Stegostoma tigrinum: one gene and its partners. The protein of the gene in region 1 interacts with the protein of each later gene in a pairwise test. Links are inferred from orthologs where the notes say so. Each region holds a gene or a part of one and is shown in the gene's direction. Other genes may lie near its edges.

What was found.
Region 2: the proteins of lmo2 (region 1) and signal transducer and activator of transcription 1-alpha/beta-like interact in a two-hybrid assay, tested with the Homo sapiens proteins (2 studies listed by BioGRID and IntAct). The two-hybrid records come from large-scale screens. The link is inferred for Stegostoma tigrinum from reciprocal best matches to the Homo sapiens genes LMO2 and STAT1.
Region 3: the proteins of lmo2 (region 1) and heterogeneous nuclear ribonucleoprotein M-like interact in binary tests that used the Homo sapiens proteins (3 or more experiments, as listed by UniProt). The link is inferred for Stegostoma tigrinum from reciprocal best matches to the Homo sapiens genes LMO2 and HNRNPM.
Region 4: the proteins of lmo2 (region 1) and rint1 interact in binary tests that used the Homo sapiens proteins (3 or more experiments, as listed by UniProt). The two-hybrid records come from large-scale screens. The link is inferred for Stegostoma tigrinum from reciprocal best matches to the Homo sapiens genes LMO2 and RINT1.

The regions. Positions count from the first base shown.
Region 1 is NC_081370.1:45,064,542-45,071,394, reverse strand, and holds the start of lmo2 (rhombotin-2), read left to right. Parts: upstream 1-3,831; 5' UTR 3,832-4,041; intron 4,042-4,446; 5' UTR 4,447-4,652; coding exon 4,653-4,693; intron 4,694-6,853. UniProt on the Homo sapiens protein: Acts with TAL1/SCL to regulate red blood cell development. Also acts with LDB1 to maintain erythroid precursors in an immature state.
Region 2 is NC_081360.1:35,651,844-35,659,420, forward strand, and holds the start of signal transducer and activator of transcription 1-alpha/beta-like, read left to right. Parts: upstream 1-4,563; 5' UTR 4,564-4,820; intron 4,821-7,577. UniProt on the Homo sapiens protein: Signal transducer and transcription activator that mediates cellular responses to interferons (IFNs), cytokine KITLG/SCF and other cytokines and other growth factors.
Region 3 is NC_081383.1:27,415,020-27,422,786, reverse strand, and holds the start of heterogeneous nuclear ribonucleoprotein M-like, read left to right. Parts: upstream 1-4,749; 5' UTR 4,750-4,829; coding exon 4,830-4,939; intron 4,940-5,694; coding exon 5,695-5,879; intron 5,880-7,767. UniProt on the Homo sapiens protein: Pre-mRNA binding protein in vivo, binds avidly to poly(G) and poly(U) RNA homopolymers in vitro. Involved in splicing.
Region 4 is NC_081378.1:22,456,505-22,464,087, reverse strand, and holds the start of rint1 (RAD50-interacting protein 1), read left to right. Parts: upstream 1-4,574; 5' UTR 4,575-4,611; coding exon 4,612-4,761; intron 4,762-5,880; exon of another isoform or gene 5,881-6,026; intron 6,027-7,583. UniProt on the Homo sapiens protein: Involved in regulation of membrane traffic between the Golgi and the endoplasmic reticulum (ER); the function is proposed to depend on its association in the NRZ complex which is believed to play a role in SNARE assembly at the ER.

The DNA.
Region 1 (6,853 bases):
AGAGGGGAAGGCGGACCGAAGATGGATACAAGAGAGTTGCAATGGGAGAGAGATTCCCTGAGGTTGGTCGGGGGGGAGGAGGGTAACTTCTTCAAGTTAGGCATCCCTGGAAGAGGCTTCAAAGTGAGGTTAAAATTGTGATCAGAGATAATGGGAACTGCAGATGCTGGAGAATCCAAGATAACAAAGTGTGAAGCTAGATGAACACAGCAGGCCAAGCAGCATCTCAGGAGCACAAAAGCTGACGTTTCGGGCCTAGACCCTTCATCAGAGCAGTTCCCATTATCTCTGATCACAGTTTTAACCTCACTGTGAAGCCTCTTCCAGGGATGCTTAACCTGAAGAAGTTATCCTCCTCCCTCCAGACCAATCCCAGGGAATCGCTCTCCCACTACAACTCTCTTGAATCCATCTTCGGTCCACCTCCTCCTCTCTCTCTATTTATTTCAGAACCTTCTCCCCATTCCACTCTCTGATGAAGGCTTGAAAACGTCAGCTTTTGTGCTCCTGAGATGCTGCTTGGCCTGCTGTGTTCATCCAGCTCCACACTTTGTTATCTCGGATTCTCCAGCATCTGCAGTTCCCATTATCTCTGCTGACCATCTCAATATCATGTTTACTTGTAAATGGAGACCCACTAACATAATCAGGATTCAGATTAAACTAGATCTCCTGTCCGACTTGGTGTCTAGATGATTGGTTACTTACATGAGATCGTCGTTACTTTTTATTCATTCATGGCATGTGTGCATCACTGGAAAAGCCTACATTTGTTGCCCATGCCTAATTGTGCTTGAGAAGATGGTGGTGACCTTTTTTCTTGAACCACTGAAGTCTGCTTTATGGAAATATACCCCGAGTATTGCTGGGACCAGAGCTCTGGGATCTTGATCCTTCGATAGTAAAGGATAACAAAATGGTTCATTCATGACTTGTCAGGGAACTTGAAGGTGGTGGTGTTCCTATTCACCTAATGCCCTTGTCCTTCGAAGTAATAGTGATACTTAGTTTGGAACATGCTGTTAAAGGAAGATTGGTGGTTTACTGCAGTGCAAGTTGTAAATGGTACACACTGCCAGTGTGCATTGGAGATGTACAATGGGACTTCAATAAGACAGGCCAATGAGTGGCAGATGGAGTTTAATTTAGATAAATGTGAGGTGCTGCATTTTGGTAAGGCAAATCGGAGCAGGACATATACAATTAATGATAAGGTTTTTAGGAGTGTTGCTGAACATAAAGAGACCGAATGGTGCAGGTGCACAGTGCCTTGAAAGTGAAGTTGGAGGTGGACAGGGTGATGAAGACGGCATATGCTACGCTTAGCTTCCTTGGTCAGAACGTTGAGTATGGAATTGGAATGTTATGTTGTGTCTGTACAAGACATTGGTGATGTCACTTTTAGAATACTGTGTTCAAATCTGGTCTCCTTGCTACAGGAAGGATGTTGTGAAACCTGAAAGAGCTCAGAAAAGATTTACAAGGATGTTGCTGGGATTGGAGGGTTTGAGTTATAGGGAGGGGCTGAGGGGGCTGGGCCTGATTTTCCCTTAAGCATCAGAGGCTGAGGGGTAACCTCATAGAGGTTTATACAATGGTGAGGGGCATGGATAGGGTGAATACACAAGGCCTTTCTCCCAGGATACAGGAGTCTCAAACAAGAGGGAATAGATTTAAGGTGAGAAGGGAAAGATTTAAAAGGGACCTCAGGGGCACTTTTGCACACAGAGCGTGATGTGTGTATGGAATGGGCTACCAGAGGATGTGGTAGAGGCCGGGACAGTTAGAACATTTGAAAGGCATTTGGATGGGTACATGAATAGGAAGGGTTTAGAGGGATATGGGCCAAATACTAGCAAACGGGACTAATCTGTTTCAGATATCTGGCTGGCAAACATGGCACTGGAGGATCTATTGCCATGCTGTACAGCTCTATGACTCTACGGTGGTGTTAATGTTGAAGATGTTGGGTGGAGTGCCCACCAGGCTGCTGTGTCCAGGATAGTGTTGAGATTCTTGAATGTTGTTATTGGGGCTTTGCTCATCCAGGCAATTAAAGATTAGTGTGTCACACTTCTGAGTTGTGCCTTGTATATGATGGATAGGACATGCAGAGACCAAAAGATGACTTACTCTCTCAGACCTTTCAGCCTCTGACTTGGTAGCCATGGTATTCACATAGCTAGTCCAATTCGGTCTCTGATCAGTGGTTAACTCCAACTTCCCCAGGTTGATTGAAGCGATCCATATTCAACCTAGGAGCAGTAGAAAGCCATTCAGCCTGTTGAGCCTCCTCCCCCATTCATTCAAATCATGGGTTGATTTGATTGTGGCCTCAGTTCCTTTTGAATCCCATGTCTGCCAAAAATCTATCTACCTCTACCTCTACTCCACCACTCTGGCCAGAAGTTCATTCCACAGACCCTCTGCGAGAGGAAAAAAACTTCTCATTTACACTTTAAATGGCAGCTTTATTTTTAAACAATGTCACCCAGCTCTCCCATGGAGGGAGACATCAATTTAGCACTCCCTTCGTCAAGTCCTGTCAGGATCTTGTATGTTTCAGTAAGATCATCATTCTTCTAACCTCCAAAGGATACATACAGACCCAGCCTGTCCAACTGGTCCTCATAAGGCATTCCATTCCATGAAATCAATCAAGTGAACTTCCTCTGAACTGCTTCTGATGCAATTATGCCTATTCTTAACTAAGGACAAATCTGCACTCAGCACTCTCTATGTGGTCTCACCAAAGTCCAAAGTAGCAAATCATCTTTAATTTTATATTTTCTATTCACATTGCAATCAATAGCACCAATCCATGTGCCTTCCTAAGCACTTGCTGTGCTTGTGTACAAATTTTCTGATTCATGTACCAGGACACTCAGATCCCTCCAGGCCTCAGGGTTCTGAAATCTCTCCAGTGGTAAATAGTTATTGCTTGGCACTTGTGTGACTTGAATGTTATTTGCTACTTATCAATCCAAGCTACCCAGGTCTTGCTGCGTTTGGACACAGACTGCTTCAGTATACAAGAAGACATAAATGATACAGAACATTGTGTAATCTTCCAGTGCAGCCCCATTTCTGACTTTACAATGGAGGCAAAGTCACTGCTGAAACAACTGAAGATGATTTGGCCAAACACTTTACTCTGATGAACTTCTGCAGTGACATCCTGACACAGAGATGACTGACACCCTGCAACTCAAAGAATTTTCCTTTGTGCTGAATCCAGCAGTCAAGAATTTTGCTCCTGACTCCCATTGGCCAACTTTTCTCAAGCTCCTTGATACCAGACTCAATCACATACAGCCTTGATGTCAATGGCAGTCAATCTCACCTCACCTTGAGTTTAGTGATCTTTCTGTGTTTGGACAAAGATTGTAATGAGGACTGAAGCTGAGTGACCCAGGCAGAAGCCAAACTAACCAAATGAATAAGCATTATTGAACATGAATGAGTATTGCCGTGTAAGTGCTGCTTCACTCTCAATTACACTTTCTATGACTTTGCTGTTGCATGAGAGTAGAATGAATGGCCAGGTTGGATTTGTCCAGCAATTTGTGAACAGGATACACCTAGACAGTTTTCCACATTGCTGGGTAGATATCACCGTTGTCACTGTACAACTTGGTTAGTTTTGGATCACAAGTCTCCAAACTATTGAGAACGTTGGCAGAGTTGGTGACTTTTGTCACATACAGTGCCTTCAGTATTCTCTGATGTCATCTGGAGTGATTTGGTTGAGGACTGGTGGCTGTGATAATGAGGCCCTCAGGGGGAGGCTGAGAGATCACCCACTGAACACCTCTGACTGCTGACAGTTGCAAATGCCTCTCCCTTTTGCACTGATATGCTGGCTCCCCTATTGAGTCTTGCAGTCTTCTGTCAACTGGGGTCGAAGTTTTCCACCCAGAGTACATTTTGTCGCCCTTTGCACATCTTCCAAGTAGTAATGGGACTGGACTAGTAATCCAGACTGAGAACAGAAAGCAGTATCAACTCCCAAAGCCCATCACATTGTCAAGATCAAGCTTCGTGAGCTAATTATCAAAACCTCAAAACAATTAGCTTCTTAAGCTAATTTTTAATTATTCTAAATTATTCGAATAAACGTCTAATATTCTGGTGCGAAATAATATTCATTATTTTATTGTTTTAAATTATAGCAGTCAAATTTAATGAACTTCATGATGCACCATTGATTAAAATGGATCTTTATCATAAACGCTTTGTGTTTATAATGGTTTTACTGTTTTACTTAATATGTATATAACACGTGCGGTTATATTATGCATATTTTAATGAAAAGATAGGTGCAGGAAAATAGATCAAGTGTTTGGTCATTGCAATGCTGCAATTGTTTCTCAGAGCGGTGTTGCCCTGCGCCTTTAACACAAGCAGGCTCCTGCCTCTTTAAAAGTGATGAGTGTTGTTTTGTAGGAAGGGTCCCTTGACGACGCTTCAAAGCTGCGGCTCGAACACGAATTTCCGCGCATTGTCCGAGTCGTGATGAGGAAAAGGAAACGTGTGATCTGGGCTCAGCGCAGTATATAAAAAAAAGCCAGCAGCAGCTTCAGGGCCTTGCAGAGACAAGAGAGAGAGAGAGCGAGAGACAGAGTTGGCGACCCTGCTCCGTCCCCGAACCAATGTCAGCAACAATCGAGAGGAAATCGCTGGAAAATGCAGAGTGAGTTAAACTGCCGGCTCGTTTTCATTTGCGTTGCAAACCGCTGTAAAGGTGTAGAGATTGCACTCGATTCAGTCAAACCGATCAAGGATTGAACAATTTCCTCAAACATGGGTCCGTGCACACAGTCAGACCAGAGAGACACCATCTGATTGTGAGATTTCTAATCATCTCGATATTCTTGATTTCTACGAGACAACATAATGGCCTTACAACTAAAAGAAAAGCCCCTGATCTTAACCACTTGGGGTTTTGAAGATGGTAACATCTTACGGATTGCATTTATTTTCATTTTATTATTTCATAAACTTTACATTGACGCGCCAGAGACAATTCTTCCGCGACAGTCATGTACCATGCATCATTTCAGTTTTGATTTATTGGACATGTTTACTCATGTCTTTTGATCTGAGCAACTTTTAGCCCTTTAGCAGGACGGCGTTGTGGGAACTGTTTGATTCATACTCAATACATGTAAAAACCGAGTGAAGGGCGAGCGATATTCTTCACGGTAACCGCCACCGCGCCGCCCCCCGCAACAACCCCAACCTCCCCAGTTCACAAAGTGTATTTGATCTGCCACTTATCCGTTATCAGCGGACCCGTCACTTCAATATTAATATTTTGGAGCCGCTCTCTCTTTGGGGAATTCTCGTGACCTCTTCATATTTTAAGTTGAACTTCCCCTTCAGCCAGCTGCAAGGGAATGAACCCTCCAGCCATTTTTCTTTCATTTTAAACAAGCATTTTTTAGGCATATTGCTGAAATATGATGGAAAATGTGGTCACAATAGCACTTTTGAATCCGTAGTTTCTGTAATATATTTTCAATGCCAATATGTGAAAAGGACTAAATATTTTGCGTGCTTCTAAGCTGAGCTTCCAATTGAAGAATGCTTTCTAACCATCGTCTGTTTATTTAAGAAGATTGTGTAGCCTTAAACCAACATTGTTCTATCTTACAATAACAGTACATCGCTTATAATAATGCCCCTATCTCACTCATCTTTCTATTATCGATCCCTTTGGGACATCAACTGCTACACTGAAATTTTCAAGACACAGTTGTGAGTATAAGTATTTAAGGAAGCTTGGCTCATGGGTAATACTGTTGCTTTGGAATCGGAAAATTGAAGCATCAGACTCCATTCAGCTCAAAACCCAGACTGGCACTTGAGTACATTGTCGAGTTAGTTAAGTTAAAGTCACTATCGTCTGCCCAGACCGTTGGGATGCTCTCTCATTGAAGAGTGAGAGATGGCTGGTGATCATTTAATCTCAGGTGAGGGGAGAGGGTGAGAAGGAGAGTCTTCATGGTAACCTTAGCTGGTGTGAGAGTTGAATCCATTCTCGTGGTGCCACAGTGCACTGTAAACCAGCCGAGCTAAATGACCCCAAAATAGGAGCACTGTATCATTAAAGGCACTGTTCCTCAGATATAACATTCAAGCAGAGACCATTGGCCTGGTCAGCTGGATGTGACAATATTCTGTTCTATGATTTGTGGAAATGTTGGAGAGTTCTGGCTAATGTCCCTTCAGCCAATATCAAGATTATTTGTCATTTATCTTATTATTGTTGAAATTTTGCTCCTGCACTTCCCTCTGTGACAACAGTGATCAATTCACATAAGAAATAGGAGCAGGATTTGATACATGGAGTCTGCTTCACCATTAAATAAGGTTATGTCTGAGTTGATTGTGGCTCTGTGTCTGACAGCTATCAGAATTTTTGAGGCTATGAAAAGAACTATGCAAATGAATGTGTTTCCTTATGCAGCTTAAAATGAAACAAATATTTTCTTTGAAAGCCTATGACCAAGAAATACATTATAATGATCTTACAAACGAACTTGAAAAATTCTTCGTAAACACATAGAATGGTTACAAAAGGAGGTTGTTTGGTGTTTGAAGCATCTGCTTTCTCTTTGTAAGAATATTTCTTTAGCTTGTTCAACTTTCTTGCCCGTATTCTGAGATAACCCCAAGGAATTCCTGCAGCAGTGCTCTCGGAGGGAGATGATTAACCTCCAACAATGTTTGAGCTCCTTTGTGCTTGGTGTGACTCCACCCAGTAGGGAGATTTCCATGATTCTCTTTTTGTTTAAAGTTTTGCTCAGGTTTTTGATGCCACACTCAATTAAATGCCGCTTGATGCTAA
Region 2 (7,577 bases), on another chromosome or scaffold:
TACCCTGAGAGAATCCTAGACTTCACAAAATACTTGAGCTTGATCTTTGCACTGTGTGGGTAACTTATATGCTCAAGTAACAAGCTACAGGAATACTTGTGAAGAATAACTGTCTAAATGATTTGGCATTTTAAACTAAAGTGCCATGGCAGGAGTTTGAAAGAACTTAAAAAGATGTATGCTATTAAAACAAAAGTATACTAATTTGTACTATACCAGGGACACAAAGACCATCACAGTTAAGTAATTTTGCCATAAAATTCATGCAAGTCAAATGCGATTCTACACTGTTTAATCCATCATGGCTGTGTTTTCTCTTTATTTCAAAACACAAAACATGTTGTCTACATTGATAATTTGCTTTAATTTGCCAAGTTATACACGGAAATAGCTTAAACTGGGTTCAAACTGTTTTGTATTCTATATTTTATATTCTACAACAAGTAATTGTCAGAAAGTCCTCAATGATTGTAATGTGATTTTGAATTGAATGTCAAACTTGAAGCAAGATGTATCTTTAAGCTACTAAATTGCTGCAGCACAACCAAACTTATTTTTGTTTTAAATCAGTCATACTAATCAATTCCCAAAGATTTTTCAGTGCCAATAACTGAGCAAGTATTTTTGGGCATGATAGTGATAATGGGAACTGCAGATGCTGGAGAATCCAAGATAATAAAGTGTGGAGCTGGATGAACACAGCAGGCCAAGAAGCATCTCAGGAGCACAAAAACATTTCTGGGCAAAAGTATTTCTGGGCTGTGCTTTATCTGTGCCTTTATTTAGTTTTGCAATTTTTTTTGTTGTGGTGCTCAAATTATGAAATAAAATATCCTTCTAATTTTTTGTTTGAAGTTACCAAATTGTTAGAGCTCCAATTATTTTCAGAGACACTATTAGTGTGAAAATGAAAGAAAAATGGAACTTAACATTAGAATTAAAATTGTTTTGAGTAATTCTAAGCATGAAATATTTAGTGATTACTGAGACAGTCAAAAATGTTTATTAACAACCATTTTGGAGGAGAGATAACTTCAATAACAGGCATTTAAATTTTGACTTTTTAACCAATCTTTCTCTCAATGACTTATCAGATAGGTTTGCACACCCAGCATTTAAAAACAATGTCTTTTTTAAATTCATTCATGGGATGTGGACATTGCTAGCTGGCAAGTATTCAATGCCTGTCCCTAGTTGAAACTAAAGAAAATGGCAGTGATAACAAGGTGTAGAGCTGAATGAACACAGCAAGCCAGGCAACATCAGAGGAGCAGGAAAGCTGATGTTCCGAAACATCAGCTTTCCTGCTCCTCTGATGCTGCCTAGCCTGCTGTGTTCATCCAGCTCTACACCTTGTTATCTCAGACTCCAGCACCGGCAGCTCCTACTGTCTCAAAATGGCGGTGAACTGCTTTCTTGAACCGCTGCAGTCTGCATTTTATAGGTTGACCCAGAATGCTCTGAGGGACGGAATTCCACAATTTTGACACAGCGACAGTGAAGGAATGGTGATATATTTCCAAGTCAAGATAATGAGTGGTTTGGGGGGATCTTGCAAGTGATGGTGTTCCCATATATCTGTTGCACTTGTCTTTCTAGATGGAAGTGGTCATGGTTTTGGAAGGTTTTATCTGAGACTCATGGGTGAATTTCTGTAGTGTATCTTGTAGATAGTGCTATTGAGCATCGATAGTGGAGGGAGTGGATGCTTGTGGATGTGATGTCAATCAATCAAGCAGGCAGCTTTGTTCTGAATGATGTCAAGCTTCTTCAGTGTTGTTGGAGCTGCAGCCATCTAGGCTAATGGGGAGCAGGAGCCTACTTTACTCAATGTATTTTGCAGACCAAAACCAAAACATGGCAGTTATTTTCTACCCATGTCCTTATAATTCAAATGTACTCATGAAATCTACTCATTATCATGTATAAGTTCCTCCAATATTAAATCTACTACAATTAGAAAAGCAAAGTACTGCAGATGCTGGAAGAAACTCAGTAGGTGTGAGCGAGAAACAGTTAGAATTTCATTCCGTCAGTCTTTCCAGATTATGCTGCCAGATATGCTGAATTTCTTCAGCATTCTCTGTGTTTGTTTATAATACCAACATACTAAGTGCAAGTCATTTAAATTTACACCATTGTTTTGAAGGTAGAGTAATGTAAAATATAAATTTTCCTTTCTGGTAAATTTTATCAATATAGTTTCAGGATTGCTGTTTCCTTTTGGAATCTTAACAGATTGTGGGACATTGTTACTTCCCAGCAGAAATTCTCCTCATCAGAGAAGATAGACAACCTGAAAGAATTGCCACTTCAGAACGCGCAGTTCCAGTTTTGGGGGGGTTGGTGTCAGGTAGATTGCAGACAGGAAGGATTCAGTGATGTTAGCGATGGCGTTTGTTTATTGGATTGAATGTCATGAGTAGCATTGGATGCTTGGCACCTTGTCTAAAATGTGTACAAATACTAGGGCTAAAAAAAAATCAGAAAAAGAGTCCCAAGCCAAACTGTCAACTTTCCTGCTCCTCTGACGCTGCCTGGCCTTCTGTGTTCCTCCAGTTCCATACTGCGTTGTCATCTTTAACCCCAACTCTCCTTCATGAAGAACCTCATGTGTAGGACAATCCTATCCTCCCAGGTGGAATTTTTCATTAACAGATGTCTCTGAGTGCTCTGCTGGGAACATATAGACACAACTTAAACAGTCTCATTCCATCCTGTGGAATCTCCAATCCCTAAACTTCCACAGAGACACCTCTAGGTATTCTGATTCAAGATTTCATTTCTGCGTCCTGATCTTTGCTCATCCAGTAAGCGAGGTGTATTTGGGCGCAGGGAATGGGCAGGTAGGAAGATTTTTTTCTGTTATTCTACCTCTAGCCCCTTGAAAGATGATTATTCACATAATCATGGTGGGCACAGCCAAGACAGAGAGTCATTGTGACAGCATGAATCTTCGCGATTGAATACATCCTCAGGCGGATCTGGAGAGGGAGAACTCTGTCTCAAATTGTACCTTAGGACATCCATGAATACTGGGCAACACAAGGTGTAGACTTGAATTGCTTACTTTTTGTTCCCCTCTCCACAGTAGAGATGCTGCCTGCACCTGCTGAGTGCTTCCAGCACTTTTTAACTTTCAAGGGATAGACACCAAAACGAACATCATACTTAAACGATATCAGAGATAATGGGAACTGCAGATGCTGGAGAATCCGTGATAACAAAGTGTGAAGCTGGATGAACACAGCAGGCTAAGCAGCATCTTAGGATCACAAAAGCTGGCGTTTCGGGCCTAGACCCTTCATCAGAAAAAGCTTGAGGTTGGTCTGGAGGGAGTAGGGTAACTTCTTCAGGTTAGGCATCCTGGAAGAGGCTTTGCAGTGAGGTTAAAATTGTATCAAAGATAATGGGAACTGCAGATGCTGGAGAATCCGAGACAACAGAGTGTGGAGCTGGATGAACACAGCAGGCTAAGCAGCATCTTTGGAGCAAAAAAGCTGACGTTTTAGGCCTGGACCCTTCATCAGAAAAGGGCAGATTCTCCAGCATCTGCAGTTCCCATTATCTCTGATACAATTTTAACCTCACCTTCGATCCGCCTCCCCCTCTCTCCCTATTTATTTCAGAACCCTCTCCCCATCCCCTTTTTCTGATGAAGGGTCTCGGCCCGAGACGTCAGCTTTTGCTCTCCTAAGATGCTGCTTGGCCTGCTGTGTTCATCCAGCTCCACTTTTTTTATCGTACTTAAATGACACTTTAGACAATAGACAATAGGTGCTGGAGTAGGCCATTCAGCCCTTCGAGCCAGCGCCACCATTCATTATGATCATGGCTGATCATCCACAATCAGTATCCTGTTCCTGCCTTATCCCCATAACCCTTGATTCCACTATCTTTAAGAGCTCTATCCATCTCTTTCTTGAAAGTATCCAGAGATTGGCCTCCACTGCCTTCTGGGGCAGAGCATTCCATATATCCACCACTCTCTGCGTGAAGAAGTTTTTCCTCAGCTCTGTTCTAAATGGCCTACCCCTTATTTTTAAACTTCATTGCATTAGTCAGAGATTTCTTTTGCTGGTGCTAGACTCGTGCCAACCTTACGGGAAGAAAGGAAACGATATTAATATGCAACACGTCGTTAAGTTGTAATCTTTACAGCCCCATCTCACCTAGCCCTCCCTTAAAGACTTATTCCATCTTCCATATAGCACAGATAAAAAGAATAACGTTGACCCAAGAGGAAGACGTATGAGTAGTAATAAACAATTTATTTTTGATGTCTTAGAACTATCTGTGCTCAAACCAACTGCGCCTTGTGCAGTGGCTAACATTGGCTAGCGTCGCCTCTCAGCATTTTTGCTCTGCCTCCAGCGCCGTCAGTGCATTAGTTTCGATTCTCGCTTTCCTGCCACCTAGGTAGTGCTTCGGGCTCAGTCACTTCTCGGAAACCACGTGTCGCTCTTCCGTGAACCCTCCCTCCCCTCGCGCCTCTCTCCGGAGGGTGGCCAGTACAAGAGCCAGAACATCCGGCCACGCCCACTTCCCCCTGAAGCTTGAATACGCGCCCCCCGTCACCGAAGCGGCCGGCGATTGGCGGAGGGTTGTGTCCATCTGTCTGACTGTCAGCGGGGGCGATCCCGGGGTGCGCACACTTTCGTGTCCTGGCGACTCCGCCCACTCCTGGTCCCCAGGCTTCTCCGATTCTGATGGAAAGCTGCCAGAGTGTGATCTGGTGCTTTTGCAGGCGGACGGGTTCCCTGAGCGTTGCTGTTTGGGTTAGCAGCTGCTGGATTTGTAGCCTCTCCTTTGTCGTGCAGGTAAGTAAGGAGCTCAGGTACGCCTCAAGCAGTGTTCCGGACCCGGAACATTAACTCTGCTAAGTGTCCGCAGCGGCACCACCACTGTGTCACAAGGTGCCCCTTTAAATTTTTAAAGCGATTTCTATTTTTGTTTTGGATCGCGATCACTTCGCACTTTGGGCCTCGGCGAGGTGCGGGGGGACAGAGACCGTAGTTAGTGTGTAGAATGAACTTCCAGATGAAGTAGTGGATGTGGGTACATTTATAACGTTTAGAAGCCATTTGGATGGAAATATGAATGGGGAAGGTTTGGAAGGATATGGGCCAGGAGCAGGCAGAAGGGACTAGTTTAGTTTGGGATTGTGTTTGGCATAGACTGGTTGGACCGAAAGGTCTGTTTCCGTGCTGTATGACTCTATAACTCTGGGTCAAGCAGCATCTTATGATTCTTCTTCATAGCAGTTCTGAAGAGTCATGCTGGACTTAAAACATCAACTCTGTTTCACTTTGAACAGATGCAGCCAGACCTGCTGAGTTTCTGTAGCACTTTCTGTATTTGTTTCAGGTTTGCAGCATCTCCCAGTTTGTCAGCTCAGACAGTTTGAGTAGCCAAAATAAAGTGACACGTGTCCCACAGGGAGCCTTTAGTGTGATGGAGTTGATGGGAGTGATTCACTCAAGTAAATAATTTTTGCTGTACAGAAGGAGACTATCCATCCAATTAAGTGTGTGCAGGCTCTCTGACTCCCCATTCCTGGACCTCAACTTTCATCTCAAAGCTGAAAATGAATGTGTCAGCACCATCCTATCAGGCAGTACCTTCCAGATCAGAGCTACTTGCCTTGCGTCACCTTTGTTTCTTTCAGTGATCTCTTTAAATTTATAATGTTTGGTGTTAGACTGTTCCAAACACCCTAAACCCCACCTCTTCCTCCATTACATTGACTATATCGGCACTGCCTTGTGCTCCCACGAGGAGCTCAAACAGTTCATCCACTTCACCAACACCTTCCACCCCAACCTCAAGTTCACCTGGACCATCTCCAACACATCCCTCACCTTCCTGGACCTCTCTGTCTCCATCTCAGGTGACCACCCAGAAACCGATATCCATTTCAAGCCCACTGACTCCCACAGCTACCTAGAATACACCACCTCCCACCCACCTTCCTACAAAAATTCCATTCCGTATTCCCAATTCCTTTGCCTCTGCCGCATCTGCTCTTGGGATGAGGCATTCCACTCCCATACATCTCCGATGTCCTCGTTTTTCAAGGACCGCAACATCCCCCCCTGCAGTGGTCGAGAACAGCCTTGACCGTGTCTCCCGCATTTCCTGCAACGCATCCCTCACACCCATCCTCGCAATAACAACCAAAAGAGAATCCCCCTTGTCCTCACGTACCACCCCACCAACCTCTGGATACAATGCATCATCCTCCGACCCTTCCGCCATCTGCAATTTGACCCCACCACCAGACATTTTTCCACCCCCACCCTTGTCTGCCTTCCAGAGAGACCACGCTCTCCGCAACTCCCCTGTCCTCTCCACACTCCCCTCCAACCCCACCACACCCAGCACTTTCCCCTGCAACCGCAGGAAGTGCTACACTTGTCCCCACACCTCCTCCCTCACTCCCATCCCAGGCCCCAAGAAGACTTTCCAAATCAAGCAGATGTTCACCTGCACATCTGCCAATTTGGTATACTGCATCGGCTATACCCGTTTTGGCCTCCTCTACATCGGGGAAACCAAGCAGAGGCTTGGGGACTGCTTCGCAGAACACCCATGCTCGGTTCGCAGTAAACAACTGCACCTCCCAGTTGCGAAGCATTTCAACTGTCCCCCTCATTCATTAGATGACATGCCCATTCCTGGGCGTCCTGCAGTGCCACGGTGATGCCACCCGAAGGTTGCAGGAACAGCAACTCTTATTCCGCTTGGGAACCCTGCAGCCCAACTTTATCAATGTGGATTTCACTAGCTTCAAAATCTCCCCTTCCCCCACTGTATCCGCAGTCCCCGCCTCCCTAACCTGTTCTTTCTCTCACCTATCCTCTCCTCCCACCTCAAGCCGCATCCCCATTTCCTACCTACTGACCTCATCTTGCCCCCTTGACCTGTCCGTCCTCCCCGGACTGACCTATCTCCTCCCTGCCTCCCCACCTACACTCACCTTTACTGGCTCCATCCCCGTACCTTTAACTTGTCTGTCTCCTCTCCACCTATCTTCTGCTCTAACTGTCCTCAATCCGCGCACCCCTCCCCCCCCATTTATTTCAGAACCCACTCCCCCTGCCCCTTTTCTGATGAAGGATCTAGGCCTGAGATGTCAGCTTTTCTGCTCCTAAGATGCTGCTTGGCCTGCTGTGTTCATCCATCTCCAGACTTTGTTAGCTCTTCATATCGACTATGTCTAGATACCATTGTTTTGAACACCTCTATCTTTCTCAAACCTCTATCTTTCTCAAACCAGATTGTATTTTAGGAAATTTGTGGATTGTTTAAAATAAAATGTGAAGCTTCATCTGACCTTAGTTTTTTTTAGATGTTTGTGGCATGTGGTCTTCAATGGCTGGGTCAGTAATTATTGTTCATTCCCAATTGTCCAAGTGAATCTGGTGATGAATTGCTTTCTTGAGCTGCTGCAGTCCTTGAGATGCAGAAAGGGCAGGTTTTGTTAGGAAGGCAGCACCAGGACTTTGACCCAGTGATGCTGAAGGAGCAATGATGTAGTTCCAAGTAAAGATGGCATGTGGCTTGGGAATGTGTAC
Region 3 (7,767 bases), on another chromosome or scaffold:
CCTGTTTTATCAGTTGCCTTGTTCAAGTATGTTCAGGGTTGGCACGAGCTGCCGATGACTGATTTACTTGAGTGCAGCCTCTAGTGGCTGATACTGGTTATATCAAGGTATGCCAGTGCTGCAATGAGACATTAAGCATGGTGTTTTATCTGCCAATATTTGGCCTGCTTTAGGTGTAGGTACAGAGGTCTATTGCTTCTTTTCACCCAATATGGCAATTAATGTACTTGTTCAGCTGAATTTAATACATGAACATCTTGCTTGGCATCTTGGTTGACCACATAGTTCTTGAAAAAATGGATATTATGCAGCTAAATGGTTGAAGTTTACAAATCAAGCAAAGGCATGTCTTTTTTCATCCTAACTTTCTTGTTTTTCATTTTTTCCTTGAACATTCTTACTGTCAAATAAGTATCGATCTCAGCTTTTAAACATTTCAGTCGCACTTCCGTGATATGAACAGAAGAATAAACAAATTGATTTTTCTTTTCCCAATTCCAAGATTACTAAAATGACTCTTACCTCCGAGGAAACTTGTGGTAGTGAGATAATGGTATCACTGAGCAGTCCTAAGTGTAATTGTAGTGTTAGGTCACTTGTGATATTGAGAAAAAATGCAATATTAAGGTCAACTGTAAAACAGAGGCCCACTGTGAAGGTCAAATGTAGTACCAATACTGCGATGTAATGGCATCTAAATCAGCTGCCATGTGTTTTCCTGCTCTTCCTTGAATTTTCTGCATGCCTCATTTAGACATTGGTCTATTTTCACGCTGAATATTTGAATGAATCCATGAAAGCAAATTAATCCCTTAGTTGTTACTAACCACCTGTTTTTTTTAACATGGACTGTTGTGTTTCTCTCAGCTCTGTGGGCTGCTAGTGCCAAATGTCAAACAATTACACCTATTTTGCTTGCTGAAGTTACCATATAATAAATTTTGCATAATCTCAAGAAAGCATGAACCATAGCATGATACAACATAGAAGAAGGTCATTACCCCATTAGGCTTGTGTTGGTTCCTTATAGAGCCATCCACTTGGTCCTCCTCACCTGCCTTTTTCCCTTACACCAGTCAATTATTTTCTTTTCAAGTATTCTATTATCCAATTCACTCATGAAACTTAATATTGAATCTGCTGTTTTCAGGTATTTCAGCTTACTACAACTTGCTGTATTTAAAAAAGTTTCCTTGTTTCTCTTCAATTCACATTGTTTCCACTGGTTCTTCTGACAATCTTTCTTTGGTTATCAAACCTTCTGCCACTAGAAATAGCTTTTTCTTGTTTACTCTAACAAAATTGTTCATGAACATGGATGCCTCTTTCAAATCTCCTTTTAACCTTCCCTGCCTCAAGGAGAAGAATTCCAAGTAGCTGAGTCCCTCTTCCGTGGGCAGTAGGTAATGAGTTATAATCACGAGTGGACCATCATGCGTGGACTAGAGATGGATGGCGAGAGAGAGAGAAAGAGAGAGAGAGAGAGAGAAGTAATTATGAACTGCTTAAGAGCATAGTCAAGGCAGGATCAATCAAGGCATTCAAAATGGATTTGGACTCATGGTTGAAAAGGAATGTGTAAGGTTATGGACAAAAAGGAGGAGAATTACACTAAGGGAATTGCTAGTTTGTAGAGTTGGTACAGATAAGATAGGATGAATGGTCTCATTCTATGTTGTAATGATTCTGTGATATGCATAGCTTGAAGCCCACCCAATCATGTCAAACATGAGCTGAAGCAAAGCAGCATGCTCCCACAAATTAACATAACCAGAAAGGAGAATGATCCTTGTTGCTCTAACTATTCTTCACTGGACTCTAGCTATGTAGTTAAAGATCATAGAATCCCTACAGTGTGGAAACAGGCTCTTTGGCCCCACACATCCACACTGAACCTCAGAGCATCCCACCCACACCCATCCCCCTGTAACCCACCTAATCTACACATCCCTGAACACTGTGGGCAAATTTGGCATGGCCAATTCACCTCGCCTGCACATCTCTGGGCAGTGGGAAGAAACCGGAGCACCCAGAGGAAACCCATGCAGACATGGGGAGAATATGCAAACTCCACATGGACAGTCACTTGAGGGTGGGATTGAACCTGAGTCCCTGGTGCTGTGAGGTAGCAGTGCAAACCACTGAGCCATCATGCTAATTCATCCCATTTCATTGTTGGCCTAATCTTAATAAATCTCTTCTGCACCATGTTCAAGTCTTGATGTCTTTCCGAAATACTCGGCTGAGGCCTGGCTGGTATTATATATACTCTCAGCATTAGCCTCATCAGAGAACCTCACATGCTTTTATCAACAGCCTCAACTTTTCCTGTCATCATCAAAGATTAGTGTGTGCATAACCCTAAGTTGCTATGTTCCTGCGACCTCTTTAAAATTGTGCCATTACATTTATATTGCCTCTCCTTATTCTTTCATACAAAATGTATAATGTCAAAATTTTCTAGATTTGATCTGCCAACTGTCCTCCTATTTCATCAACTGATCCATGTCCTCCCGATTTCTGTTACTGTCTTCTTCATTATTTACTGCATTTCTGAATTTTTTTTTCATGAGAAAATCAAACTTATATTTGGTATACCAAAGTCCAGATTATGAATTGATCTTGAAAAGAGTAGTGGTCTCATTTACAACCTAAGGGGAACACCACATCCAGTTTGAAAGATAACCGTTCATTGCTTTCTGTCCTTTGACCAACTTTGCATGCATATTGGAGTATATTTTCAATTTCATTGGCTTTGATTTCAGTAATAAGATTATTTGGAGTTACTTTGTCAAACACCCAATGAAACTTCATATGCATATTACTTTCATCCACCCTCCCGCTACTTCATCAAAAAACTTGATCATGTTAATTAAATACAGTTTGCCTTTTCAGTTATGTTTATTTATTAGTCATACAGCTTGGAAGTAGACCCTTTGGTTCAACTTGTTCATGCCTACTATATATCCCAATCTGATTTATTAGTCCATATGTTTTGAAGTCTCAATAATTTTGTCTTGGATCATTGTCTCCAACAGTTTCTCCAACACAGATATTAGACTCTCTTGCAATTCATGAATTTATTTGTCTCCCTTCTGTGAACAGGGATATAACATTTTTAATCCACCCATCTTCTGTCACAATCCCAGTATCTATGGAATGTTAGAAGTCTGTGGCCAGAGACTTACTTCTTTCAGTAATCTCACATGCATCTTTTCCAGACTAGATGACTTTTCAATTTTGAGAACTGCCAACCCTTTATGTATCTTCTCTATCTATTTTTATTCTATCCAGTATAACTACTACTTCCTCCCACTCCTACATTGAAAGTATTTTCTCCTCCAGTGAAGACAGTTACAAAGTACTCATTTAGTACGTCAGTCATGGCCACCACTTCTCTAAGTATATTGCTATTTTAGTGCCTTATAAGCACTGCTTTTCTAATTTTTACTGTTTGGTTTTGCTTATAAAATATTTTTAGGTTTCTTTTTATAGCCACTGATGCGTTTACGTACCATCTGACCCCCTTCTTATTCCCTACTTTAAAATCTCCTCTGTACTTTCTGTATTCAGTGTCAGTGCATGGCTGAAATACTGTGCCTGTGCAAAAGGGATAATGTGCAATCTGTTATGAGCAAGTTTATTGCTCCACAACAGTTTCACTTTGAAACTTGTTGTGTTTTTGCTTGTCAGTTTGCACCTTGTCTGCCAGCTTCACGCTATCTAAATTGTAAAAATCACAAATTAAACTATGAGTAACAACTCTGAACTTGAGTATCAGTTCAGCTGTAAATTCGGAATCATTTTACCGCTGATCTCCCTGCATTTGCAGCTAGTATAATAGACTGAAAGTTTTGGGATGGTGAGTGATAAATGATGTTTCCTTGTGTTGAATTTAAAGTCTGGGATTCCTTTTATAAATCTCTCCACTTCTTTGTCTTCCTCTCCTCCAATAAAATGTTCTTTAAAAATCTACCTCTTTGACAAGCACATTGTCACCAGTGCTCTATTGCTAGTTAAAAATTTTGTTTGATAATGCTCTTATATAGTGATTGTCAATGTTTTAATATGTTGTGTGTACATTAAAAAGAGATGCTTTGTTGGAAGTTGTGTTTGAAAACAACCAGGTAGCACCATGTCTCCTTCAGGATTCAGTTAACTCCTTAACACCCAGATATCAAGCTGGTGCTGGACTGAAGAATTAGGGCACTTACCATCTAAACCTTCCCTAACGTTGTACTACTTAAATCTGTTATATTTGAAACTAAACCATCATGGTGACAGTTAGGGCAGATAGACAGAAACTGCTTTAAAAGTGATTGGAAACATAATCAAAAAGTAACTTGAAGAAAAACTTATTATGCAATGAGTTCCAATGGTAACTTGTTCCAGTTATAATGAACCTGAAATGTCCTTTTGCCCAGTTTGCTGCCTAACCTGTTAACTGTTTCTAGCTGTAGAGCTGGATGAACACAGCAGGCCAAGCAGCATCAGAGGAGCAGAAAAGCTGACGTTTCGGGCCTAGACTGTTCAAAAAGAAGGGTCTAGGCGCGAAACGTCAGCCTTCCTGCTCCTCTGATGCTGCTTGGCCTGCTGTGTTCATCCACCTCGTTATCTCGGATTCTCCAGCATCTGCAGTTCCTAGTATCACTGAAACTGTGTCTAGCAGTTCAAGTAGGCCTGTCCATGTGGTCCAGTTGCCTTGGAGATTTGGCGGGAATCCAGTATGACGTCAGCCGAGCAGAGCTGTACCCAGAATCCTTCACGCGATAGCGGGCAGACGCCATTCCGAGTCAGACAGCGCGCTCGGTTTGCTTGTTGTTGCGTCGATGGCGGATTTGGAGCCCACACCCCAGGAGCCTGTAATCAGCAACCCTGAACAGGAGGAGAAGCAAGATGAGAATAACCCGAGTGGTGGTGATGAAGATCAGAACCAAAGGTGCGGTTCTGTGTGAGGGATGGGAGGCCGTGTGGCTATGGCAACGGCTCAGGCTTCAGTTGGGACTGTAGGCCGCGACACCGCGCGCCGAACAAAAGGCCCGCCGTTTCAGGATGTCTGAAATCCGCGGCCTAACTCCGCATTGATCGCTGGCCTGAAGTAGCTCTTAAGGATGTTAAGTAGGAGGAACCGCCCAATTTTATTACTGAATAATATTTTAAATTTTAATTGGTCGTCTTTTCAGTTCTAATATTTGAAGTCGGTTTTGCACGTTGGGTCGAAAATGCTTTATTCTTTAGTGCGCGCGTTTCCCTGAAGAATTAGAGCTGGGTATGTGAATAATTTGAATTCACAATTCAATTACCCACCACTTCACATTTGAGTTAGATGGACACACTCCCGCCCCTTTTTCAGTTGCGCGTGGGCATGCACCATATTGTTTCATTCGTGCATTGTTCCGGAACCTCACCGCACCTCACCCCACATTTGCTTCTGGTCTTGATTCGTTTCTTATTCCATTTTCGCCTCGGCGTCCTATCCCGTTTTTCCTCATAATAACACCGACGATTATGTTGGAACCTTGACTGTAGTTAGCCATTGTCTGTTGTTCTAAAACAGTAACTGGTAAATTAACAGGATATTAAAGTGAATTTTGTGTTGTGCTGCGATAATTTGTTTTGTGGGAAGACCACTGCCTACAGCAGTTTGAATCCAGTGAGACTGTTGATATTGAAACAGTGTTTTGTGCTTCACAGTGAAACAAATGAAGCTTCAGTTCAGAATGAAAAAAATGATAAGCTGAAGGAAAAAAGCAGCAAGCGTGGTGGAAACCGCTTTGAGCCGTATTCAACTAACAGAAATGCAAGATTCCGGGTTTTTGTGAGCAATATCCCATTTGAAATGAAATGGCAAACACTTAAAGATATAATGAGAGAGAAAGGTAAAGTCAGTTGTAGTGTGTCAATTGGAATCATTTCAAAATCTAGTTTTAAATTTTGGTGAATATTGTGTACTAACTGTATTACTTTGTTTTTGTCTTCACTTGATGCCAAACTTTGGTATTGAAGAATAAGCCCCCTTATACAGAAGAAGTGACACCTGGCATTTTAGTTGTGTTCAGTCAATTTTTTAATTAAATGTTTCTTCACAGCTATTCGGAAGGATGTTCGTGAATAAAACAAAATAGGTTTGCATTAGCACCACTGAATTGTGTCAGTATATTGGAAGGGAGGTACAGAATTCTCGGATTGAGTTAGTATCTTCTGAATGTTGATGCTAAAAGTTTAGGAGTTTACAGAAAATAATTTTGAGTTTGTCACATCTGTTCTAATGTTGAGAAGGACAAGGCTGTAACATTGTGTTTTCTGCCATTACTGTTCTGGTTATTGGGATAAGGTGGCACATAAGTTATTGTTTTGTTCTGGGAGCAGGCCAGATGAGAAATCTCATCTAGGGTAGGAATCTCAAGTTACTATTTTCAATGCCTTATTGTGGGTGCAAATTGTGAAATTTTAAATTTACTTTTATTTGAGATCAAATTAACCCAGCTTTTTTATATAAACAACTTTGGTCTTTTACCATTTTTTAAAAAAAAGCCTATTATCTTGAAAGATATTGGCAAAGTAATAGTGTTTGAAATTGAGCAGAGGAATAGTTCCAACAGGGAAAATCTGTCAAAAATACTTCAGATCTGAGAGGAAACAATGTTTGCTGACTAAAATTGCTGCATTTATTCCTAGCAACCATTACCTCTGTAACTGGCTCAATGCATGTGTATGTAATTAGTTCAGGTTGAATTAAGTGCACATTGTCTTGTATATTCTCCACACACTCTTCAGTTGTTACATAATTGGCAGCTTATGTGTAAAATCATGGAAGTAAACCCTCATCCTACTTGTAACAAATCTGTAGTAGACTGCAGAATGTATTTCTATGCTTAACACACACACTTTTGAAAATTGTTCCTCGTCTGTTGGTACAATCTTTAAATGTTTGCACAGTGTAAACCAAAGAACATCTGAGTAACATAAAACAGAATAGTATGGACATTGGCCTGTGGGTCAGCATCCATGAAATCTATTGAATTAAATGCAGTATGGGCTAATCTGTTTTGACCTGCCCTCTTTTATTAAAAACTGTTTAAATGTTCAGTTAAATGTTTACCCAATCTCATGGAGGTCCACACTGAAAGTATTAACCTTTAAAAATATAACTGCAGTTGCTGGAGATCTGAAGCAAACAAATGACTGGGGAATCTCTGTTTTGACAACGTCTGTGTGGAGAAAGCAGTTTGAGTCCAGTGGGCCACTGGGCTCAACGTTAACTGTTTTCTGTGCACAGATGCTGACGGACCTGATGAGTTTCTCTAGCAGCTTTTATTTGTTAACTATGTATATTGCTTTCACAGATATTGACTGACCTGGGTGCTTCTAGGGTTTTCTGTTATGTATCCAGTACCCTTGTAGTCTTCTGATGAATGCTATTTACTCTTAAACATTTTCTTTACCTGAAGAGAACACATCGCAGCTTAAAATTTGACCATGGAAACCTTTTGGATTAGTTCCCGTCTTGCTGTTGTTGCCCCTCAATGATCAAGTTTAGCAATAGAACATTTGAGTATTTATTGTGGCAAGGTGTCAATGACAGACATGATTAACAAGAATTTTTTTTAAAAAGTCATACCCTCTTCAACTGAAATTGATGGAGTAAAATAACAATGGCATAATTACTTGGTATTATCTTGCTGTTTTGTGCGGCTCAGAAAACTTTCCTGCTCTTTCGATGTTGTTAATTGTAGCTTTTAAAAGTTACTTTTTCTTCACATCGCT
Region 4 (7,583 bases), on another chromosome or scaffold:
CTGATTCTATGTTACTTGTGCTAGTATCACACAATACAGTGCCGTCTCCTAAGTCTGAAGATGGATCTTGTCTCTTGTGACAATCCTGTCACTTTAAATTGCCCTGGGTTTTTTTTAAAGAACGGTTGTGAAGGCAGAGGTGGTGACCTGGCTATTGAAAACAGCTAAAGTAAATAACTTAGAAAGTCTTTAGGTTTTATTAAGAACAGTTGGAACAATGGATGGGGAGTGGCCAGCTCTCTCAAACCAGGCTTTCTAATTTTTTTTTAACTGTAGCAGTCAGAAGCCGTTTGGGGTCCCAGAAGTGTTGAAAGCTTCAGTAAGTGATTCCTAGCTGCTGCTTTCTCTGAAATCTCTTGATGTTGTTTCCTACTGGATTGGAGAACTGCGTGTAAGAATCTGTGTCTGAATTTACCTTTTTGCCACAGGATGTGTTTTTGGAAATGTTGTTGTATTGGAACAATTAATTATTAATATGTACTGTATCTATTATTCAGTTAAGTCACTCTAAATTCCTCTTTCTTTTGTTTGTATTTTAACTATAGTGTTTAAATAAATTGTGTTTTGCTTAACATCAAGTAGTTTGACCAGTTGCAAAAACCTGGAAACACACACTTCACATCTATCTTCAAAATAAGAAAAAGTTAACAGTTTAGGCTACCTTCTTAACATGTTTTGAGACAGTCTGGTCTCGTCTGGTCAACAACACATAACAGGGACTGTGCAGTGATCGTTCCCACCAATACTGTTAAGGACAAATGCATCCGCAACAGGTAGATTAATGAAGATAAAGTAAAGGAGGTAACCCCCAGTGTTGGTTCTCTCATTAGCTACTGCGAGCCCAGTCTGAAAGCCTGTTCCTCCAAAATTCTATCACCTCAGTCAGTGATGGTGCTAATGGGCTACTAATCCTGATCAACATTGAAGTCCCCTTTCAGGATGACCAACTTGAAGGAAAAAAAATACAAGGTATGCTTTACTGGAGGAGTTGATGAGACTGGAGGAGTAGGGGCCCATATGACTGGAAGGAGAAGGAAGCTTCAAAGGAAAACTTTATGCAGTTTCAACAAAGTCAAGGGGACCAATATGACTATCTCAGTTCACAGACGTTTACCATCACGACATATTTCATATATTTTACTTAGCCTCCCTCCTTGATAGTATGTGTTGTCCCTCAAAAGGCCGCATACTCCTGATACATCACATTGCTGCCCAACCTCCCTCCCTCTCGCCAATATTAAAGCCCCTCTCTGCAAATTCCTAACCCCATCTTCAAGGGCCTGCTAGTAAATTCTCTTTCTGGCCTTCAAGTAAACTCTCCATCAGGCCTGCTCACCTTTTAGGTTTGCCAGATACTTCTTCAAGTCTGTCAGCTCTATCAGGGTACCTGGTCCCTATGTCCAATCAGGTCCGTGTGAATCTCACCCCATCTGCAGGTCTGCCTTGATCCTCCTCACCCTCCAGGCCTGCTATCCTTGATTCCAGAGTTGAGAGAGCTGGATTGTGAGGAGAAACTGAGCAGACTGAGATTATACTCATTGGAATTCAGAAGAATGAGGGGAGATCTTATAAAAACATATAAGATTATGAAGGGAATAGATAAGGTGGAGGCAGGGAGGTTGTTTCCGCTAGCAGGTGGGACTAGAGGGCAAAATAAAGGGAAGCAGATGTAGGAGTGAAGTCAGGAGGAACTTCTTCACCCAAAGGGTTGTGAATCTGTGGAATTCCCTGCCCAGTGAAGTGGGTGAAGCTACCACACTGAATGTTTTTAAGGCAAGGCTAGACAAATTTTGACCAGTAAAGTAATTAAGGGTTATAGTGAGTGGGCAGGTAAGTGGAGCTGAGTCTCAAAGGTCAGCCATGATCTTATTAAATGGTGGGTAGGCTCGAGGGGCCAGATGGCTTACTCCTGCTTCTAGTTCTTGTGTTCTTATCCCAAACAGCACCTGGACCTGACCGCTGCTGCCGCCACCACCAACTGTCAACACAATATCTCCCCATCCCCAAAGTTGGGCTTGAGAGTTCTGCAGCTGCTGGCCTCAACTCCTACCCCACACCAAATTACCTCTGGATCCCTCCAAACTCAGCCACCCGTTTGCCAAACTGATGTGACTCTGGGAAGAGTGAAAGATAGCACACTTGTTTACTTCTTTGTGTCTGTATGGACTCGTGTTTATGTGTGCACACTTTGCTGACTTTGGACTGCCCATGTTAATTCAGCAAAATACTCAGGCAGCAGCAAGAGGTGACTTGAGGTGCCTTCTCAGTCACTGATTAGAGGAACCGGGGAAGAATAGCATTTCAAATTAGCTTAAATTCTATATTTAGGAATGGAAGCCAAACTGACACCATCCCTGAAAACTTGGAAACAAAAATCAAAATAACTCAAAACACTATGTCTGGCAGCATCTGTGGAGGAAAAGCAGAGTCAAATGTTTTGTGTCCAGTGACCCTTCTTCAGAACCTTCAGGGTTCACACCATTGGTGAGTTTGAGGACGAGGACCGACACCGCAGTATAGCATTCTATCACAAACCTACGCATAACCTTACGGTGCCACACTTCTCTAGCTTCCACCAGAAACCTATTAAAACAACCATCCCTTATGGACAAACCCTACACATACACAGAATCTGTTCAGATAAGGAGGAGTGAAACTGAAACCTAAAGGTGTTGAAGGACACCCTCATAAGAACAGGATACAATGCAATACCCATCAATAGCCAGCACCGACATGCCACAGTGAAAAACCGTAATGCCCTCCTTAGAGACAGACGTGGGATACATCTGACACAGTGCTCTTTGTCATGCAGTGCTTCCCAGGAGTGGAGAAACTCTGCCACGTTGCTCACAGCCTTCAATGCATTATCAATGAGGATAAGCACCTCACCAAGATCTTCCCCATGCCTCCACTTCACGACCTCAAACAACTGCCCAACTGTAAACCATTGTTCGCAGCAACTATCCAACCTTCTGGACAATATTGATGACAAGTCTATACAACCCTGTCATTAGTAGCTGTTGTAAGACATATCAGATCTTCAACATGGACACTTGGGAGCACGTGGGAGAACTACCCACCGTGTGCCTGGCAGATACTCACGTGACTCAACCAACAGTGTTTATCTCATATGCTGCAAGGAAAGATGCCCCAAGGCATGGTACATTGGCGAAACCATGCAGACACGACAACAACAGATGAATGGACACTGCACAACAATCATCAGAAGGAATGTTCCCTCCCAGTCGGGGAATACCTCAGCGGTAAAGGACACGTTAAGCCTCGGATCTTCAGGTAAACAACCTCCAAGGTGGGCTTTGGAATACACAACAATGCAGAGTCGCTGAACAAAGATTGATAGCCAAGTTCCATATACATGAGGACAGCCTTAACTGGGATCTTGGGTTCATGTTGCATTACAGGTGACCCCACCACACTCAACTCTCTCTCTCTCACACACACACACAGTCTCTCTTTCTATCTTCCCTCACACATAAATACACACACTTTCTCTCTTTCTCTCACACTCAATCTTTCTCTCCCCCCTTCCCCCACACACACTTTCTCTTCCCCATTCCCCCAAACATACAGACTCTGCCTCTACCCCCAAAACACACACACTCTCTCTCCCCCTCCCCCCCCCCCACACACCCAAACACACCCCCCACACACTCACTGTTTCTCTCTTTCTCCCCAACTTCACTCACACACACAGTCACCCTCTCTACCCTACCCCCAAAACGTCAGCTTTCATGCTCCTCTGATGCTGCTTGGCCTGCTGTGTTCATCCAGCATCACACTGTGTTATCTCAGATTCTCCAGCATCTGCAGTTCCTACTATCTCTAAACAAGGTCCTACACCTAATATGCGTTGTGTGACCTAAAATGTCACCTCCTCTGTATACTGCAAAGATCTTTATTTCTCTCAGGACCGTGTCTTGAAAGGAATCTGGCGATTTACATATACATATTAATCAATTAAAACCTTCTAATTGATTTAAAGATTTAGCAGCATCTTAAGATTTGTTTAGTCCATCCTCAGTGGTGTGACCTTTTGATCTTTTACTTATAAATTCAATGTCTGATACTACCTATTTCACTAACACCTGAAGAAGGAGCGACGCTTAGAAAGCTTGTGATTTCAAATCAGCGTGTTGGACTCCTTTTCTGATGAAAGGTCTAGGCCCGAAACGTCAGCTTTTGTGCTCCTAAGATGCTGCTTGGCCTGCTGTGTTCATCCAGCCCCATACTTTGTTCTGTTGGACTACGACCTGGTGCTGTGTGATTTCTGACCTTGTCCGCCCCAGTCCAACACCAGCACCTCCACATGATTTCTGCAGATGCTGTCAGAGTTGTTGAGCTCCTCCAACATCCGCGGTTCTTTGTGTTTATTATCCGAAGAGTCTGGTCTGCGCTGCTGTTGAACACTGGCGTGTCACAAAATGGTTAAACATTAACTGTGTTTCTGTCTCCACTGGCGGTTTGAGCATTCCTCCAGCAGTTCCGAACTGTTCTCCATCGTTTTGCTGGGATGACGCCGAGTCAGCCTGTGCGCGGTCTCCATGGTAACCGGTCCGGTTGCCCGGATGTGGTGACGTGCCAGCCGCTGTCATGGCGGCGGAGGATGGGTATGGTGGCGAGCTCACTCAGCATGTGGTCGAATTCGTTGAGAAAGAGTTTGGAGACGATCCGACATTATTAAAGAAACTCCCAAAAATAATAGAGGAGCTAGCGCTGAGTAAAAGAAACCTGGAGGAGCAGGTACTGCGCCTGGGCCTTGTGGAATCCACTTGGCTTAAATAATTTCACGGTCTTTCCTCCCCGAAACGTGCATCAAAATAAATGCCATGCACACTGTGAATAAATAAATTTAAAACCCTAGCTTGAGTCTCAGGTATAAGACATTAGGTCTTTATTGAAATTGGAAATGTGCTAAGTATTTCCTCAATGCTAGTGTTTCGCTATTGAAATCACTACTTTTGAAAGAGAAATTGCACGCCTGGTTTATGTCTCGATCAAAGGAGGATAACTGGTTATCTCTCTGGTCAAAACAATGTGCAGTTATTGAGCGGACCTACCAGTATTTACCGTCGCTCATGTCTGGTATATCTGAAATATCTCTCGTTGTCCATAATGATCGTTTCAACAGAACAAAACATTAGCTTTCATCGAATATACTTAGACGTGCACTTTTCATACTAAGGCATTTATAAAATGGTGCCTTGTTGATCTGTATAACAATTTTTTTCACAAATTTGGAATGCCAAAACAGATATTAAGCTGTCACTCTAACTTTTTTTGCCATGTGTATGTGTTACTCAATATTTGTCATCCGTCCTGAGTTGAGCAGGAAGAATCAAACCAGATTGCTGTATGACGGAAGCCATTTTTTGGTTAGACTGTGATTATGTTTGTCGTAATATAGTTGAATTGTCAGGTTTATAGTGACCAACAAGCTGAAGGACCACCTGACCGGCAAAACAAATAGTCAGTCAGCCACTTGTTATCTTTTCTGTTCCTATTTCCTTATGTTGCCTCTAAGCAATGTTGCATTCTGGCCTGTGAGCCCGATAAAAAGAAGAACAGTAGTCCGAATGCTCAAGTAAATTTCTACAGCAGTCCTAGTGACACTGTGAAAGTGATAACTGAAGAACTTGGTTTGGTTTAGCTGCTCATCAGTCGTTTTCACCAAATAGTTGAACCCAATCAATAAACAGCACTACATGGCTTCCATTTTAGTTTTGAAATGTGCAGTTTTCTGTATGTGGGTGATTTAGTAACGTCCAAAAGTATTCAACACTCATTTTGATTTATTTGTTGAAATAAGCAATTGTAAACAATAGGACATCATTGACATAAAATGAGAGATTACAGAAAGTGTGGCCATGAACAAAAATTTTATTCAACATCTGGATGCTGTGTCTGGAAATCGCAGATGATTGATTGTAAGCACTTAGGGAGCAGAAGTCAATATGTAGAGATTTTTCCATTCTTCTCCATACTGGAATGTCCTATTTGTATCAATTCTAATAAAAAAAAGAGTTTGACCATTGTTTTTATTTAAAAATAAATTAGAGTACGCCATTAGAAACAGAGATCTTTACTTAGCAGTCTGTCACCACCATTTTACAGTAAATGCAGCATACTTGCTCTATGGATTACAAAACCCTCTTGAAGCTGTCCTTCTGACTCTAAGCATATTGATCTTGATTGCTGATGGTTTAAAATTTCATATCTAAAAAAGATTGTGCATCTGTTTATTTAATTCTCCACATATTTTGTATCAAATGGCAAATGTCATAACCTGATGACCACAGGTTTGACAAGTATCAAAATCCTATAGGACCATGCTGAACTCGAGCAGAGACACTTTGATTCCAAGTGAACCACGTGACTATTTACAACAATGCGTCATTCTCATTTGGTATGGCAGAATTTGAAATTAGCGAGTTGCTATTTCAATAATAAATTCTGAATAAATTAGAGGCTATAAAGGCCAATTGTGGTTTGGTACATTACCTATTTTAATTCTTGGTGACCGCATGATTGCTAGTAGAATTTTCATTGCGTAGTTTCAATTTTTATACAATGTAATGGTTGAAAAGAAAACCTTTTAATGTTTAAATCCATTAGCATAAGAAATGGAAATAGTAATGTGCCGTTCAGCTTTTTTGAGCCTGCCCTGACATGTAGTGAGACAGTGGCATGTCAATAACTTCTACTTCAACTTTGTTTTCCCACCCTATCCCTTGTCCTTTCATTCTCTCAATATCAAACAACAGATCTCTAACTTGAATATGATCAACAACCAAGCAACCATGACTCAAAGATTCACATCAAAGTATCTTGGATTACGTTTGGGAAGTGTGGAACATTCATTTTGGGTGCGAGGTCCTTTAAAATTATCTTACACTGCGACACACGTATTAAATTAAAGTGGCCAACTTGTGCACATCGAGCAGTTGAGGGGTAACATGGTTCATAGTGCTTTGAATGAAAACCTTCTCTACATCTCAATCCTAAATGGATATTCCCTTATTCTCAAGTGGTGAACCTTAAACCTTCAATCTCCTTAACGAAGGGAAGTATCCTCACAATATCTCGTTAAGCCTGTTGGGCAATTTCTGTTACAATTTGATCACCCCCTAATCTTCAAAACTCTAGGATATATAGGCCCGCTGTCTTCAATCTGTTCTCATCATACATTAAGACTGCAGAACCCATTGTTGTACTTACTTTAAGCATGTATATCCTTTATTGGGCATAAAGATCAAAACTGTATTCTGGGTGCAGTCTCAATGAGACCCCTTTCAATGTAATGGCTTGTTTATTCTTATACTCCAGATGCTTTTTAGTACAGATTAACATCTTGTTTGCTTCTTAATTGCTTGCTGTATTATTGGTTTACAGATACATATGCCAGCCCAGTTGGTGCTGTTGTGGCACAGTGGTAGCATTCCTATCTTTAGGCCAGAGGTTTGGATTCAAGTTCCACTTGCTCCAGAAGTATGTCATGACATATCTGCACAAGATAACTAAAAACAAAACTTCCAGTTCCTCTGATTGTCAACATTTTCCATTTT